4 linked regions of the Canis lupus familiaris genome follow. The main gene of each other region encodes a partner of the protein of the gene in region 3 in a complex. Links are inferred from orthologs where the notes say so. Each region holds a gene or a part of one and is shown on either strand. Other genes may lie near its edges.

Region 1 (3,649 bases), on a different chromosome or scaffold from region 3:
AGCAGACGTCCTGCTGAGCATGGAGTGTACAGAGCCCATTGCAGGGCTTCATCCCAGGACCCCAAGATCATGACCAGAGCCAGAATTAAGAGTTGGATGCTCGATAGACTGAGCCACCCAGGTGTGCCCCAAGTGACTATATTTTTAAGAGTACTTAGGTTCTGCTTATTTTGGACATAGTTTGGCTTAGGCACATCTCTTGGTCTCATTTGACAAAGGTTGTAGGTCCCCTACTCACCATCTCTTTTTGTATGGTTGCAGGTTTCCTGTTTTAGGTGATTTTTGTTCAGGAGAGCACCCACTTTATTTTAGGAAACACAGCACAAATACTACATGTTGAGGCAGTTTCAGTAATTTAGAATGAATTTGGAATTGATGTTCTTTTTTTCAGAGTTTGTCAATAATAAGAGGAAGTTTTAACTCTTTACTGTCGCGTTATCACTGGAGTGACAAAAAAAAAAATTTCACTAGTGAAAACCAGAATTGCAAAAAAAAAAAAAGGAAAAGAAAACCAGAATTGCTGTTGCTGAAGTAGAAGGCCCTTCTAGGATTTCCTTGTTTTCTGTGCAGAATCTTCTAGGTTAGAAGGCTGGTATTTGATGTTAATTTATGCTAACATGAGAGCTTTAGAGATTGATGCATTTGTGTGACTGGTTTTATACTTTTACCTGAGTTTCTAGACCCTGAGTGATCTATTAATTCCCTGCCTTTTGCACAATAGGATTTTAGCGTTGGAGAAGCTAGGTGCTGTCTTCAATCAAGTAGCCTTTCCACTGCAGTACACACCCAGGAAATTTGTCATTCACCCTGAGAGCAACAACCTTATCATAATTGAGACAGACCACAATGCCTATACTGAAGCGACAAAGGCTCAGAGGAAGCAGCAGATGGCAGAGGTAATGTAATGAGACTGGCCTTCAAGGTTCAGCTAAAAAGCATTCATGTGAAATTTTGTTGAAAAGTTTAAACTCGTGTAATTGTTGATTATATTCTGTTAGATTAAAAAAGACCCAGGCTGGGATGCCTGGGTGACTCAGAGGTTGAGTGTTTTGCCTTTGCTCAGAGTGTGATCTCGGGGTCTGGTGATCGAGTCCCACATCAGGCTCCCTGTGAGGAACCTGTTTCTGTCTCTGCCTCCTCTCTCTCTCTCTCTCTCTCTCTCTCTCTCTCTCTCATGAATAAATAAAATGTTAAAAAAAAAAAGACCCAGGCTTTTGTCCGGTCCTTTAAGCAGACCCCTTTGCCTGAATCCTTGTTTTTAGAGATTATCTTGTGACTCAGGACTAATACACTGACCTGGGTTTATTCAGTATTCAGCTTTCCTTTTGAAACAGAGTTCTTCAGTCCTTGAGCTTCCCAAACAGTTTATGTATGTGTTTCCTGGATTCAGGCCCAAAGGAGACAGATTTCATTTTCTCCGTAACACTAGTTCTTTCCAGAAATCATCTCCTAGCAAAAAAACAAATAGCTCCAACCATGTAAAGCTGTGTCTGGCTTGGAAGAGATGAGACAAGGATTTGTAGCAAGGGAAATCAGATGCGATAGGTAGAAAAGTGGTGTTTTCATTTTATGTATCTCAGACCACTCAGGTATTTGCCGTAGTTGATGTTAGGGTTTTTTTAGGCATTAAAAAATGAAGTACCTGGTTTCCCCTTTAGTGGTTTTCCCTCTTCCCCTTATCTGTATACCTCTCCCTTTAATCTTTACTTTATAGGAGATTTGTTTTTGGCCTACAGACTTGGCTACTTACATGATATGAATTCCCCCTGGAGGTGTTGTATATTTGTCCACTTCTCACCCACTACCTACCTCTGAATATACCGACTCTTCCTTTTTTTTTTTTTTTTTTTTTAAGGTTTTATTTATTTATTCGTGAGAGATAGAGAGAGGCAGAGATCTAGGCAGAGGGAGATGCAGGCTCCTCTCAGGGAGCCTGATGCAGGACTTGATCCTTGGACCCCGGGATCACATCCTGAGCCCATGGCAGACCCTCAGCCGCTGAGCCACCCAGGTGTCCCATCTTCCCTGTTTTGTGTGTTTGTTTTGTGTTTTTGTGATTGATTGATTGATTTTAGGAAATGGTAGAAGCAGCAGGAGAAGATGAGCGGGAGCTTGCTGCTGAAATGGCAGCAGCATTCCTCAATGAAAACCTCCCTGAGTCCATTTTTGGAGCTCCTAAGGCTGGCAATGGACAGTGGGCTTCTGTGATCCGAGTGATGAATCCTATTCAAGGGAACACGCTGGACCTTGTCCAGCTAGAACAGAATGAGGCTGCTTTTAGGTAAGGAGCACAGGATGTCCAAGGTTTTGGGAGCTGGAATGAGAATACTTTATATTATAACTAATGCCTGACTCCTGCTTCTTTCTCTTTTTTGCAGTGTGGCTGTGTGTAGGTTTTCTAACACTGGTGATGATTGGTATGTCTTGGTGGGTGTGGCCAAAGACCTGATCCTCAACCCCAGGTCTGTGGCAGGGGGCTTTGTCTATACCTACAAGCTCGTGAACAATGGGGAAAAACTGGAGTTTTTGCACAAGGTAGGAACCAGCCAGTGGTACTCCTGTGTCTCTGGTCCAACTGAAGTCTCCCACTTTTGCTTAAGTTGTGGGTCAGGTCTTTTGGTGACCATTTTGGGAGCCAGCTCATTGATTATGTTCCGTCTCTTGGTGGGACACAGAAACGCTCTGGCTTTCATGCTCCAGTGAAGCTCCACTGCCCGGGGGTCCACAGGAAGCCTGTGTTCTAACCATCCACAATGATGACTTAGATACACACCGAATTGGCCCCTTGTTTATTGCTTTTACTAAGCAGACAGCAATTTGTGACCAAAATCTAGTAGATCTAAATAATTAATAATCTCTGGAGAAATGCCTTTAATGGATAGTTTCCCTTTGGAAAAATAAAGTTCTGGGGATGGTGGTGGTGGTTGCACAACAGTGAAAATGTTTGATGTTATTGAATTGTATACTTAAAAATGGAAAATTTTATGTGTATTTTATCGCAGTTTTAAAAATAAGGGAAAAATTTTCCTGTTCTTCCACATGGACAACAAATGCATGTAGTTCCTCTAGCCCTTTGAAGCACAGGGAAGTGTCCCCTACAAAATAACTACTTGTGGACTTTTTTTTGTGTTAAACTCATTGTATCTCCCTTAAAACTAAGAAGTCACTTGTCACTCCTTTCCCATCCCTCCACAACCAGCAGTCACTTTTTTGATATTGAGGCTTCACTGTTAGTGGCACCAGTTGAATTAACACAGGCTCTAAGACCACATTCATTAGGCTCCTTTGACTTGTGACATTGATCCATTTGCTAAGTGATTTGCAGTGTGTGGGACCTGTTTACGCAACCACCCCATTTCCTAGAGACTGTTGTATGTGTGGTTTATTTCTCTGATGAGCCAAAGGTGATCACTCACTGTTTCTTGTAAAAACATTTTTGGTTGAGAGGGTGGGGCTAGCCTATGGCTGGTGTCCTAATAGCTACATTACCTGCTTTTTTTTCCTCACAGACTCCAGTGGAAGAGGTCCCTGCTGCCATTGCCCCATTCCAAGGGAGAGTATTGATTGGTGTGGGGAAGCTTCTGCGAGTTTATGACCTGGGGAAGAAGAAATTACTCCGAAAATGTGAGAACAAGGTAAATATGCTGGT
Region 2 (4,293 bases), on a different chromosome or scaffold from region 3:
TTGGCAAATCGAACTCCAATTAAAAAAAAATACAAAAATTAAAATTAAAATAAATAAATAAATAGCCTGTCCATGTCTTACTCTTGGGAAGCCACTTGCTTTATTGTCAACAGCACTAGAGGCCCATGGGGCAAAGAAGTGAGGCCTCCAAAGCACTACATGAAAGAGCTTTCAATCAAATCATTCAGCCCCACTTAAGCCTCATATGAATGCAGACCCAGCAGACACCTTCATTGCAGCTTTGTGAAACCCTAAGCCTTTCCAGATTACTTACCCAAATTGTTAGCTATCTGTTTTATGCTGCTAAATTTTGGTGAGTTAGTTAATTTACACAGGAATAGGTAACTAATACAGAAAAGAATGATGTGAGGTGTTTTTTTTTTTTAAGATTTTATTTATTTATTTATGAGAAACAGGGAGGGGGGGAGAGAGGGGCAGACACAGGCAGAGGGAGAAGGAGGCTCCATGCAGGGAACCCGACATGGGACCTGATCCTAGGACCCCAAGATCATGCCCTGGGCCAAAGGCAGGCGCCAAACCACTGAGCCACCCAGGGATCCCTGATGTAAGTTTTCTAAGCAATTCAGACATGTCACTCATTGCTATCTGTTTTGCTCTCCTGCTAGAAAACGTAAATGAATACTGTAGTAGTGGTGGGCAAAAACAAAAGTCCTTACAGGACACCTCTTCTCATGGGTCATAGTCTTGGTCTAGGAGGAAAGTGTACAACCAAGCAATCCGTAACAACTACAACCTTTGCAGCCAGTCTGGAACCTCAACTCCCTTTATTCACCATCAACAGCTTCTAGGCTCCATTCTAGCTCGAGAAATCTCTCCCCTAGAAATGTTTTCAGGAGTCCTTTCCTTCATTTCTTCCTCTTCAGATATTAAGAAAGAGTTACAGTGCCAATATGAAGAGGTCTACAGAGTAACTCCTCCTAGAGACACTACCATGTTTAGTTGAGGCCTGGAACAGGAGTGACACAAAGAAATATCTAAAGGTAGGACTATTAAAAAAATAAATAAAAATAAAGATAGAATTATAAGTAACATGATTGCTATCCTGGAGCCAGAGAACCTCTCCTCGACACTTGCTAAAATCAACACAGTTTATTAGACCTAGTCTTGGCTCCTGAAAAAGATGAAAAGTCACTCACCCTCCCATCTCAGATTGTGGCGTGGTCTTGGTAATGACAATTGTCTTCCCAAGCTTGGATTCCAGGTCCACTTTATAGTCCCTATGCCGGAGAAGCTCCCGTTTGACTGGCTGTACTGGTTTTCCTAAAATATAAGACAGAAGAAAGTCCTTTTATTATTAGAGTTCCTTAAGCAGAAACGAAAAGAAATGCATGAAACCCAATACACAGATGTCTACTCTTCATTTCTTTCTTAAGCCTGAAGCAGGGGGCACAAAAAGCACTTGTAGCAGCAACTAGGGAGAATCTCAACACAGGAAAAAATGATATGCAATCCCTAAACTCTACATAGCTTTTTTCCACTTCAAAGCCAATAAGTCTAAAAACAAAGTTTTTTATTGTTAACTGAATTGAAGAAAGGAATTAATTTTCACAAAGAGTAAACTTTTAAAAGAAAAGCAAGGACACTCAGTAATACTTTCAGACAGATACCCCAAGTGTAACACACAAAAAAGAATCTCTAGAAGGCTGGGGAAGATTTTCTAAATGGGACCAACATTCAGGCAATATCTGTTACTTGCTACTGTACAAATTAGATCAAAACTAAAAAGATCAGTTTGTGCAAGGTGGTGTGAAAGTAAAGTGAAAGCATAAGAAAAAATAAGGATTCTTTTTGTATAATGGATTCTCTAACTAGGAGAGGAGAATCAACTCCGTAACATTGTACAAAGCAGAGAAACAGTACTACTAACCACCAGCTGAAACAATCACACATTCCTCCCAGTACCCTCACTCTTCTCAGACCACAGGGGAAGGACTTGATTGGACCAGTTATATTCTTCCCCTTAAGTGACTTCAACGGAAAGAGTTTCCTCAATAGGAGTAGTGCATAGCAGCAAAATACTCCACATCTCTGTCACTACTAAGGCTTCTCCTCTCTTCTCTGCACTTGAAGAAAGTACAAAACGAGCTAAGCAAAAAGAAGGCAAGAAAGCACAGGAAACAGAGCTGGGAAATACCTCTGAGTATATTCAGTCCATCTCTTTCCTCCCATTTTATACAGTAAGAAATGGAGAACCAGGGAGGCAACATTCAGCCAGAGGTTACACAAGGTACCAACCAGGACATCGCATTTCAACTCCCCACCCGCTCTCCAGCTATGGCTTCACCTCTACGATACCTCTGCCCTTTAGGGAGTAGGCACCCACCATCCTTCTTTTCTCTCTCTTCCGTGAGCCTCTTCTCGGCGAGCTTCTCATATTCATCTTTGTCCCACTTTCGGCGAAAGTCCAAGTTTTTTGTCTGTAGGGAAAAAAGCGCTCAAGATTCGTCGCTAATCATATCGGAACCCTAGAGAAACGGAGGGAACCGCGTCCACGCCGGCAAGGCGACCCCCCGGACCTGTCGAGAGCGAAGACTCTCCACACCGCACCAGAAGGCTGAGGTGGCCTCAGGACCCCAACCCAAGAGTTCTCCGCGATTCCACAGACCCTGTGCCAGGACCCTACGAGGAGGCTCTTGAACTCGGACCATTGGGCCGCAAGGAGGTGTCGAGAAGCCAGTTGGGTGCAGGATATTCCGCGCTACGAAGGCACCCTCTGCCCCCCGACCAAAGCCTCCTCACACACAACACCTACCCCGCTGCCCGACGCCATCTTCACTGCGAAGTGAATGGGAAGCCGGAAAATGACGTAAAAAGCGGCCCTGAGCCGTAAAGCAAGCTTGCCCTCCAATAAGCTTAGAGTTTCGCGTTCTAAACGAGCTAAGGACTTCTAAAACAGGGTCGTCGGCCCCTCCTCTGACCCACGGAAATGGTGCATGCGCATGGAGAGCATGAAGCAATACGGAAGTAAGGGCGCGTACTAATGTCTTTTGCCTTGGTTTTCTAAACAATCATCTGATTTAATTCAACTGGTCTATTTTATAAACAAGGAAGCAATTTGGATCAGGGCCCTTTGATCTAGTCTTAAGCAACTGTGCATCCGTTTGCCAAGTTTCTAATTTTTAAGGCTGAAGGAATTATTAGGAGCCTCTAGCTGCCCTATTTACCTGTATGCACTAAAGATATGGCCCGCGACACCCAGTGTCTCTAAGTTGCAGCCTTTCCAGCGCATATATAGAAAGCAATTTTTGCACACTCTTTATTTTGAAGCAATGCTATCATCATTCGGTTAAATCATTTTTCTTTCAACTGAGGAACTTTATAATCATTCAATCAATAGGGCACAATTTAATCAACATGATGGGACTTGGAAAGGCCAGTCATCAGCAACGCTGTAGGGTGAACTCTGGCATGCATCTCACTATGTTCATTTAGACGTGACTGTATTTCCAAGTTGATGGGGGGTGGAGTGGGGGCACTGGAAAACTGACTGTTTCCTTCACTGAATCCAGAAGCATCACCCCAGGGAGGTTGCTCCTAGTTCTCAGAATTGTGCAGTGTACACTTGAGGGTTTTCTATGGCCTATGCAAACCAATCTCTTGATAACAAATCACTCAAACTACTACATTTAGTATTTTATTTATTATCCAATCATTTCTAGAACAGCCACCTCCATAGGACAACATGGAACATAGTCGAGCAGTAATTCTGGCACAGGAAATGGTCTCCAAAATCTCAAAAGATTAGACCATCTTGTCAAGTCACCTATTAAATTCAACATTCAAAATTACTAAACAGACAGCCTCACTCTACTAACAGCAGTTGAGCTAGAGATGCCACAACCATGAGCACTCCTATGCCCTTAGGATAGCATCTCTGTCCTCAAAAGGAGAAGGCAGCCATTTGCCCCTTCCTTGCTATCTCCCAATACTCCCTGGACAAGCCAAGGGCAGGTTGTGGACAAATTTCCCAGAATCTGGTTCAGAAGCCACAATGGAAGGCCACGTATCTGACTTCTTATCTCAATGGTCCCAGCCTGGGGCAACCTTCCTAGAGCCTTGCTCAAAGCAACCATCTCAGCACCTGTTGGCAGCATTCCATGGCACTTCAAATCTGCCATCTGTCTCTGCAGTTAGAGCATGTCTCTTTCACATACCAGCCATCTGCACCCATGCAGAATAGCTGCTCACACTAGCCCAGGAGTCCTCAGGACCTCCTACAGCTTTGTACCCAGAAAGGATGGAGGAGGCAGAGGAACTTGTCACCCATCCTGG
Region 3 (4,364 bases):
ACAATGCCAAGAATGAACCTTAATGTAAACTATGGACTTTGGGTGATTATGATGTGTTAATGTAGGTTTATCAACTGCAACAAATGTATTACTCTGGTGGAGGATGTTGATAATGGAGGAGGCTATGCATGTGTCAGAGCAGAGGGTATATGGGAAATGTAAACATAAAATTGATATAAAAAAATAAAAGTCTTGGGGTGCCCAGGTGGCTTAGTTGGTCAAGCATCTGCCTTTGGCTCAGGTCATGACCTCTGGGTTCTGGGATGGAGCCCCACATTGAGCTCCCTGCTGGTCACTGCAAGAGAAGCCTGCTTCTCCTTTTTCCTCTGCTCCCTACCCTCCATGTTCTCTTACTCTCATAAATAAATAAATAAATAAATAAATAAATAAAATTTTAATAACAGTAAAGTCTTAAAAAAAAAGAAGGTAGTGAGGTGGAGGAGGGTTTCTATATCAGATTGCAAGGCTTAGTTTAAACTTACAGTGATTAAAACAATATATTAATGACTCCGGGGTATATAGAGACCAATGGAACAGAGTACAGAGCAAACAAACCTTTACACAGGAGCTTGGTATGTTACAGAAGTGACATTAAAAAGCAGTGGAGAATGGATGGGTTAGTCAAACAATGGAATTGTAAGGACAACTGGTTAACCATAAACAAAATTAGATTTCTGACACCACACCCACAAAAAATTCCACATGGATTAAGGACCCACGTGTGAAAAAAAAATCTTAAAACACTTACATCCTTCCTAGATTACAAGTTCCTTAAATTAGAATCTGTCTTGCGCAATTTTGTATTCAATCGTATTTAGGATATAGAAACACTGAGAAAATATTTATAATTGATCTCAGTATAGGGAAGGATTTCTTAACACAATATACAAAACAACACAAGAGGGACGCCTGGGTGGCTCAGTGGTTGAGCGTCTGCCTTTGGCCCAGGGCGTGATCCTGGAGACCCGGGATCGAGACCCACATCAGGCTCCCTACATGGAGCCTGCTTCTCCCTCTGCCTGTGTCTGTCTCTGCCTCTCTCTCTCTGTGTCTCTCATGAATAAATAAATAAAATCTTAAAAAAAAAAAAAAACACAAGCTATAAAAGATAAAATTGATAAATCCAAAAACACTAAAATTAAAAAGGCCTATGAAACAGAAAACTCCACAATTAAAGTGAAAAGACAAGACAAAGAACCAAAACAAAATAGGAAAAAGATATGAGAGATCTGGGATGTAGAAAAACTGTAGAAAATGGATAAATGACAGAAACAGCTAATTCTGAGAACACCTAGATAGCTGACAAATGCTTAGTCTCACTAGTAATCAGGGAAATGCAAATTAAAATAATGAGATATTTCATAATTCGATTGGACAAAATTTAAAAATCTGATACAACTAAGTGTGTGGATGAATATATGGGTAAATACAAACTCCTAATGCTCTTACAACCCACTGTGGAGAGCAACTGGAAATAGCTAGTTAGGTTGATGATGAACTTTTAGGAGTCTACCCTAGAGAAATTCTTACACAGTGCACTAAAGAGGCACATTTAAGAATGACAACTACAACAGGTGCCTGGTTAGCTCAGTTGGTGGAGCACATGACTCTTGATCTTGGGGTCATGAGTTTGATCCCCAAGGTGGGTGTCAAGATTACTTTAAAAAAAAAAAAAGGCCAATTACAGCACTGTTTATAATAGAAAAAACAACACAACTGTCCCCCAGGAAGGAATAAACTGGTTCATTTATACAATGGAATTTATAAGTAGTTGAATGAATTAGCTCTTTATATATCAAAGGATATTTCTCAAAAGCCACCTTGAATTTTAAAAAAAGGCAAGTTGCACAAGATTATGTACTGTTATGTTTAAAAAATAAAAAAAGAGCTCATATTATTTTCCAAAATCCTTCCTGAAAAAAAGGGACTCTTTAGTCTAACCCCTTCCAAACATGTTCCTTCTATCTGCACTGGAATTCTATTGATCCTTTAAGGATCGGTTTATATGCCATGTTCTTCAAGAAGCTTTCCTAGATTACCTCAATCTGAAAAGATCATTCCTTCTCTACACTTCCATATCGTTTGGTTTATATCACCTATGTGACAGGAATCACACTGCTTAGAATGTCTCTTTTTGCAGGTCTCACACCTACAAAATGAGTTTCTTTAGGTTAATTAAGGGCACTGCCTCACACAAGTGTGTATTCAACTTCATACAGTCACAGCGTTGGTTGAAAGGAATAAAAAGTTTAATAAGACACGGTTCCTGTCTCAAGGACGTTTGAGTTTATGATGCAGTAGAGGGAGACAGACACAGAAGAGTTACAGAAGCGGCACAGACTGCTACGGAAAACAAAAGAGGGACCGTATTCCGCACAACGCCTTGCAAAAGCAGGCATTTACTGTGTATACAGTCTAACTTAACAGTGGAGGCCAAAGGACGAGGGATGCTTGCTGTGAGAGCAGCCGCCGGGCGATATGGACAAGATGAGATGGAAGTGGGTATTTTCCCCCTTAGGCAACGCGACCGGGTGCGAGTTTGATGGGAAAAGTCGAGGATATTTGGGGGCAGCGTCTTAAGGGTCGGTAGGGTTGGGGTGGTCTGTTGCGGTAGGTTTGCAGTACGCTGGGAAAGGAAGAGGTAAAATCCGACTGGAAACCGGCTCAGCACCGTACCTTTCTCATTGCGAACCGGGACGGCCCCTGCCGTAGACTGAATGGGCGGTTGTTTCATGAGTGCGCTTGGGACCGACATGTTGATGGCAGCCGCAGCGATTCCCGAAACTTCAGTGATTCCAAACAGTGAACCGCAACAACGTCAACGACAAAAAAAAACCTCCTCTGGAAGCACTGGGCACGACCGCGCAACAGATAGAAACACCACCTACGTCTGAGATAGAAAAACCGGAAATATGCGACCAGAGGATTGTGGGATTGTGGGCGTGGACGCTGCTACTGCGCATGTTCCTCGGCTGCTCTAGCTTCCTCCGTCTCGCAGAGTTTGGACGTCGCTTCTGGCGGGAAATTGCTTCCCGTTGGCCTTTGCTGTTAAGATCCTGTGGCGAGGCAGGTCCGAATTACGGGTTTCTTTTGTTAGCTTTGTGTGAAGCTGAGGAAAATGAGATAGTGATGAATAAGGAATTGAGTGGATAGAGAAAGGCAGTTTGTCCAGACTCTTGAAAGCTCAGAATTGGAGTTTAATGAGAAGAGAAGTCCTGATAATAGCCCCTGATTAGCTCAGTTGATGAGGCTGAGTGGGTTGTGGTGAGGTATTTTTTTTCCTCACGTGAGGGCAGGTGTTGATGATTTACGCTATTGCCATGAAAAAAAGAAAAAAATCCCGTAAGGTGCCTGAAACAATGAATGCTTGGAGTCAGAACGGTGTGCTTTTAGGCTTTCCAGTTTTTTTCAGTTTCTCAACACCGTCTATTAAAACATTCCTGTGTAGACATGACTTTTTACATAAGTACATGAGTAATTATTAAGTACTTGCTGAGTTTGCTGTGCTTAGCTCTTTAAGGAGTATAGAATATTGCTTAAAGGCTTGAATTTTATTTAGGAAGTCTTCTAGGGCAATCAATTTACTAGCTGGATTTGTAAAAAAAAAAAAAATATATATATATATATATATATATATATATATTGGTTTATTGGAAGTCAGAAAGCATTTCACCACAGAAAGGATTTCCTAAGTGTTGTGATAGGGAGAGTTGGGGCAGCATGAACAAAGTCTTGAGGTCTACAAATAGCGCGGCATGTATCAAACACTGAAAAGTTTGATTTTGTTTGATTTTTGAGTCAAGGAGTGGTGAAAGTTTGGTGAGAACCAGATCATGGAGGGCCCTGATGTTACTGTTAATAGGATTAGTTCTCAAATCATTTCACCTATGTTGTAAAATTGGGTCTAGACTGGGAAAGAAAAGAAAATGGGGCAAGTCTTGAGCAAGGAACAGTGAAGGATCCATGTAACTGACCAAGGAAGCAGTTATGGGGTAGAAAGAAAAGGGTCTTAAAAATAGACTAGGTAGAAATTTATATTTTGAATTTAACAGCTCCAAAACCATGCTGTCCAGATGGAGTAAATATGAGAAAACGATTGTTTTGACTCACAGCAACTCAAAGAATAGGAAAAAAAAAAGTTAAATATGGCTGTGACTGTAAGAAATACAGGACACTAAAATCTTATTTGTTACTTTGTGACACAAGGATTCGATTCACAACTTTTTCTGGCCTTTGGGCCTTGTAAGGTCATCACTAGGCTCTTAGTTAACTGGTGGGCAGATAAATAGGTGAAATTTAAACCAGCTTATAAGCTCTTGAAAAAAATCAAAATGCTTCCCTTCCTAGGAAGAAGGTAATATGAT
Region 4 (3,649 bases), on a different chromosome or scaffold from region 3:
GGTGGGGCAATCTGCTTTGCTGCGGATCAGTGTGGTGGGGATATCCGTGTCAGCATACTCATCATCCAGGTCTACCACATAGGCCATGCGGCCTGGGAGGAACAGCTCATTCCGTTCATACGCCTTGCTCCTAAAGAGTGTGCGGTAAACATTGCGGCCTATGAAAAGAAGAGGAGGAAGCATAGCCACTGAGAAACTTCTACAACAGCTGCCATTTAGCAAGTGCTTACTCTGTGCCACATACTATTGCCTCAATTTTCACAAGAGCCCTGTAAGGTACATGTTATCATCTCCTTTTAAATGATCAGAATACTCAAGCTGAGAGTGAAGCAATTTACCTAAATTCACACAACTACTAAGCAACGGAATAAAGAATAGGGCCCAGCCTGTCTAACTCCAAAGCCTGAGCTCCTATCCACTCTTTTACATTGCCTTCTCAAAAGTACCATGGGCCTCACATTGTATTAGGTCCCATGAGGAAGAAGGATGAGGCTTAAGGGGATACTGACAATGATGGGAAAATCAGCTCAGCTACATGTGCAACATAATTACAATGCATATACTGTTTTTTGTTGCTGCCATGAGGTGAATTAACTCCATTTTTGCAGATAGACAAACAGGCACTGAGACTTGTGAAGTCAGTTGCCTAATATCACATGCCTCATATGGTTTTATCAGTAGGATTCAAACCCCAGTCTTTGACTGTAAATTCTGAGCTTTTATTTATTTTTCTAAAGATTTTCTTTATTGGGATGCCTGGGTGGCTCAGCGGTTGAGCATCTGCCTTTGGCTCAGTGCGTGATCCCGGAGGCCCCTGGATCAAGTCCCACATCAGGCTCCCTGTGAGAAGCCTGCTTCTCCTTCTCCCTCTGCCTATGTCTCTGCCTCTCCTCTCTATCTGTCTCTCATGAATAATCTTTTAAATCTTTTTTAAAGATTTTCTTTATTTATTCATGAGAGACACAGAGAAAGGCAGAGACACAGGCAGAAGGATAAGCAGGCTCCCTGAAAGGAGCCCGATGTGGGATTCGATCCTGGATCCTGGGATCACGCCCTGAGCCAAAGGCAGACGCTCAACCACTGAGCCACCCAGGTGTCCCAAATTCTGAGCTTTTAATCACCAACCACGCTAGCTCTTCTAATGCATAAGCTGTAAGCTACCTCCCTTAATGCATAAGCTACAATCTGCAAGACCTTCCAACCTAATTAAGACATTAATAACATACACGAAATGACTAACCCCACATCTGAGTTCTAGTAGAGTATTCTAAGAGAAGTCACTAATCTGGGGGCAAGAAAGAGAACAGTATGACACGAAGGGGAAGCATATTCTGCCCAGAGCATTAAATTCCCTATAATTTACCTAAAATGCACAACCTCTAGTGTAGAAATTCTATACTCACCCAAGCGCGTCTTAAATTCAATTTTATTCTCAGGATCTTCATCTTTCCTGAAAAGACAAAAGAATTTTCCTTTTAGCCAAATGTGTTCCTACTTTAAGTCCCACTCACCTAAACTTAGAAGCTTTCCCTGATGTTTACACACTTAGTTTCCTTCTGAGGCTTTTCCATAAGTTCTTCCTCTTCTTTCTCTTTGCTGGCAATCTCAGCTCGTACCTAACAGGAAAAAAGCATGTAGGGTTTAGACATTTATTCATTTTACAAACATTTACCTAACACCACTATCTACCACATTGTGCCAGAAACCAAGGACTTAAAACTGAACAAGACAATACAGTCCTTGCCCTAATGGAGCTTACAGCAGAAGAGACAAATGAAAAAATGTGATAACTGTGATATGTGAAATAAGAGAGATATGGAGGGTACAGGAAGTGGGAAGTGAGGAGTGGGGTTTAACCATACTTGGGTGATCAGGGATGGCTGCCCCCCCAAAAATACAACCCTTGAGGCTGAGACTTGAAGGATGAGTAGCACTTAGTCCTACATAGGAGGAACCATTAGCCCTTCTCTATGGTGTGGGCTAACAGTCTCCCCTCCTTCACCTTGAAAGGCCCACAGAAGAGCATTCAGCATTCTATGATTACTCTCCACCCACCCACCAAGGATCACCTTTTGAAGCAGAGCAAAATCCAACCCTTTCACCAAATGAGTATGTTCCATGTCACCACCCAAGAACTTGGACTCCTGGATCAACTGTCTTCTCTTCTCTGCAGCTGACTTGTCCCTGTATAATGAAAGAAGCCACATTAAAACAGTCCTTTGTGAGTGCCTCTCACAAAGTGCCTTTCAAGTGTCTCTCTTGAAATGGCCCAGCTCGGGCTCCAAAGTGGGGAAAGCTCATTTTTCATTAGGAAGAATTCACACTGTGACTTTAAGACTCTGGAGGCTGAGGGAATCATGCCCTGGCAGCCTGGGTACTCACGCTTCAGCAGTGGGGCCCACAGCCCTGTAGTTAGCTGTGGTACTGATCAGCTCCGTTTCCTCATAATCTTTGTTCACACCATCTCGCCGTTCCTTGGCACGGTCACGATATTTCTCTGCTAGCTCTCTCTCTCTCTCAATTTCTTGTTGACGAAGCTTGGCATAATAACTGTGACCATGGAAAAGCAAATGCATAAGGCTCACCAGCTGCTATCCCAAGGTCAGTAGAATTCTTCCTATTTCATCCAACTGTCTGGTGAAAGCTCATATATGTCCTGATAGTACTGCTGTCACCCTCGGATAATCCTCAAAATCAGAACTATGGCTTCATCCAGTTCAGAGAGATACTCTTTCAATGCTGCCTCAGGACATTCCATGTCACTTCAGAATTCTTTAATGCCGTATCACTGAGTCTCTAACAGGTTATGAGACTTTTCCATAGGACAACTAAGAAGTTATCTAAATTTATATCACCTTCCATATTTCAACTAAAAATAAGTCATTCCTTGCTGGTCTTCCCCAAAAAGAAAGGCCAGCAAAATACCAGGTCCAGGAATTTTAGTATCTTATAGATAATGATGATAATGATGGTGGTGACAACAGCAGATAGGATTTATTGGGTAATTAAAATATCCCAGGCACTAAATGCTTACATGCACTATCATAATTGATCCTCTTGACAACCAGATGAAAGTTACGAAATCACTCTCTGTTCTACCCATTAGAATATCAAGAATTAGAAATATTAGGGACTATGCCCACAGTTATCTTTTGTCTTTTCAGGAACTGGTAAAGTTGAGACTGAAATCCTGCAGTCTGACTCCAAAGTCCTAAATTCCCACTTATCACTCCTATCCACTAGAGAACCTCAAGACAATACAGAAAAATCTTAATCTCTAGCCTCATAACTACTAGCCCCTATGCCTTTCACTCAAACACTATCCAATCTATAGCCCAACATTCCTCTATCTTTCCTTCACCTCTTCTTTTTTCTCCTTCGTGCAGCTGGGTCTTCATCCTCATTGTACTCCCTTGGCATCCTAGAAGACAGAGAAATTCACTAATGGCAAAATATTGCCAGAGCCCCAGAAAACCCCAACAAGTGGCCTTGAAGAATGAAGAAAGGCCTAGATTATGGAACAAAGCAACAGCTTCAACCATGCAGAGATCCAGGTCTACATTTGTAGGTGAGTGGTCCTAAGCTTTAGAAAGTATCACAACCACCTGAAGTATCTGAGTCTACAGGGCTGGAATCGACCCTGGAAGCT

Evidence for each region.
Region 1: MFAP1 (region 3) and SF3B3 share a complex: the UniProt entries of both Homo sapiens proteins name them as parts of the spliceosome B complex. The link is inferred for Canis lupus familiaris from reciprocal best matches to the Homo sapiens genes MFAP1 and SF3B3.
Region 2: MFAP1 (region 3) and ZMAT2 share a complex: the UniProt entries of both Homo sapiens proteins name them as parts of the spliceosome B complex. The link is inferred for Canis lupus familiaris from reciprocal best matches to the Homo sapiens genes MFAP1 and ZMAT2.
Region 4: MFAP1 (region 3) and IK share a complex: the UniProt entries of both Homo sapiens proteins name them as parts of the spliceosome B complex. The link is inferred for Canis lupus familiaris from reciprocal best matches to the Homo sapiens genes MFAP1 and IK.

The regions. Positions count from the first base shown.
Region 1 is NC_049226.1:77,109,209-77,112,857, forward strand, and holds part of SF3B3 (splicing factor 3B subunit 3), read left to right. Parts: intron 1-721; coding exon 722-896; intron 897-2,075; coding exon 2,076-2,281; intron 2,282-2,378; coding exon 2,379-2,535; intron 2,536-3,509; coding exon 3,510-3,635; intron 3,636-3,649. UniProt on the Homo sapiens protein: Component of the 17S U2 SnRNP complex of the spliceosome, a large ribonucleoprotein complex that removes introns from transcribed pre-mRNAs.
Region 2 is NC_049223.1:34,979,055-34,983,347, reverse strand, and holds the start of ZMAT2 (zinc finger matrin-type protein 2), read right to left. Parts: upstream 2,838-4,293; 5' UTR 2,792-2,837; coding exon 2,774-2,791; intron 2,439-2,773; coding exon 2,345-2,438; intron 1,282-2,344; coding exon 1,158-1,281; intron 1-1,157. UniProt on the Homo sapiens protein: Involved in pre-mRNA splicing as a component of the spliceosome.
Region 3 is NC_049251.1:10,843,912-10,848,275, forward strand, and holds the start of MFAP1 (microfibrillar-associated protein 1), read right to left. Parts: upstream 2,920-4,364; 5' UTR 2,756-2,919; coding exon 2,677-2,755; intron 1-2,676. UniProt on the Homo sapiens protein: Involved in pre-mRNA splicing as a component of the spliceosome.
Region 4 is NC_049223.1:34,937,057-34,940,705, reverse strand, and holds part of IK (protein Red), read right to left. Parts: intron 3,422-3,649; coding exon 3,362-3,421; intron 2,551-3,361; coding exon 2,383-2,550; intron 2,185-2,382; coding exon 2,070-2,184; intron 1,617-2,069; coding exon 1,546-1,616; intron 1,451-1,545; coding exon 1,404-1,450; intron 159-1,403; coding exon 1-158. UniProt on the Homo sapiens protein: Involved in pre-mRNA splicing as a component of the spliceosome. Auxiliary spliceosomal protein that regulates selection of alternative splice sites in a small set of target pre-mRNA species. Required for normal mitotic cell cycle progression.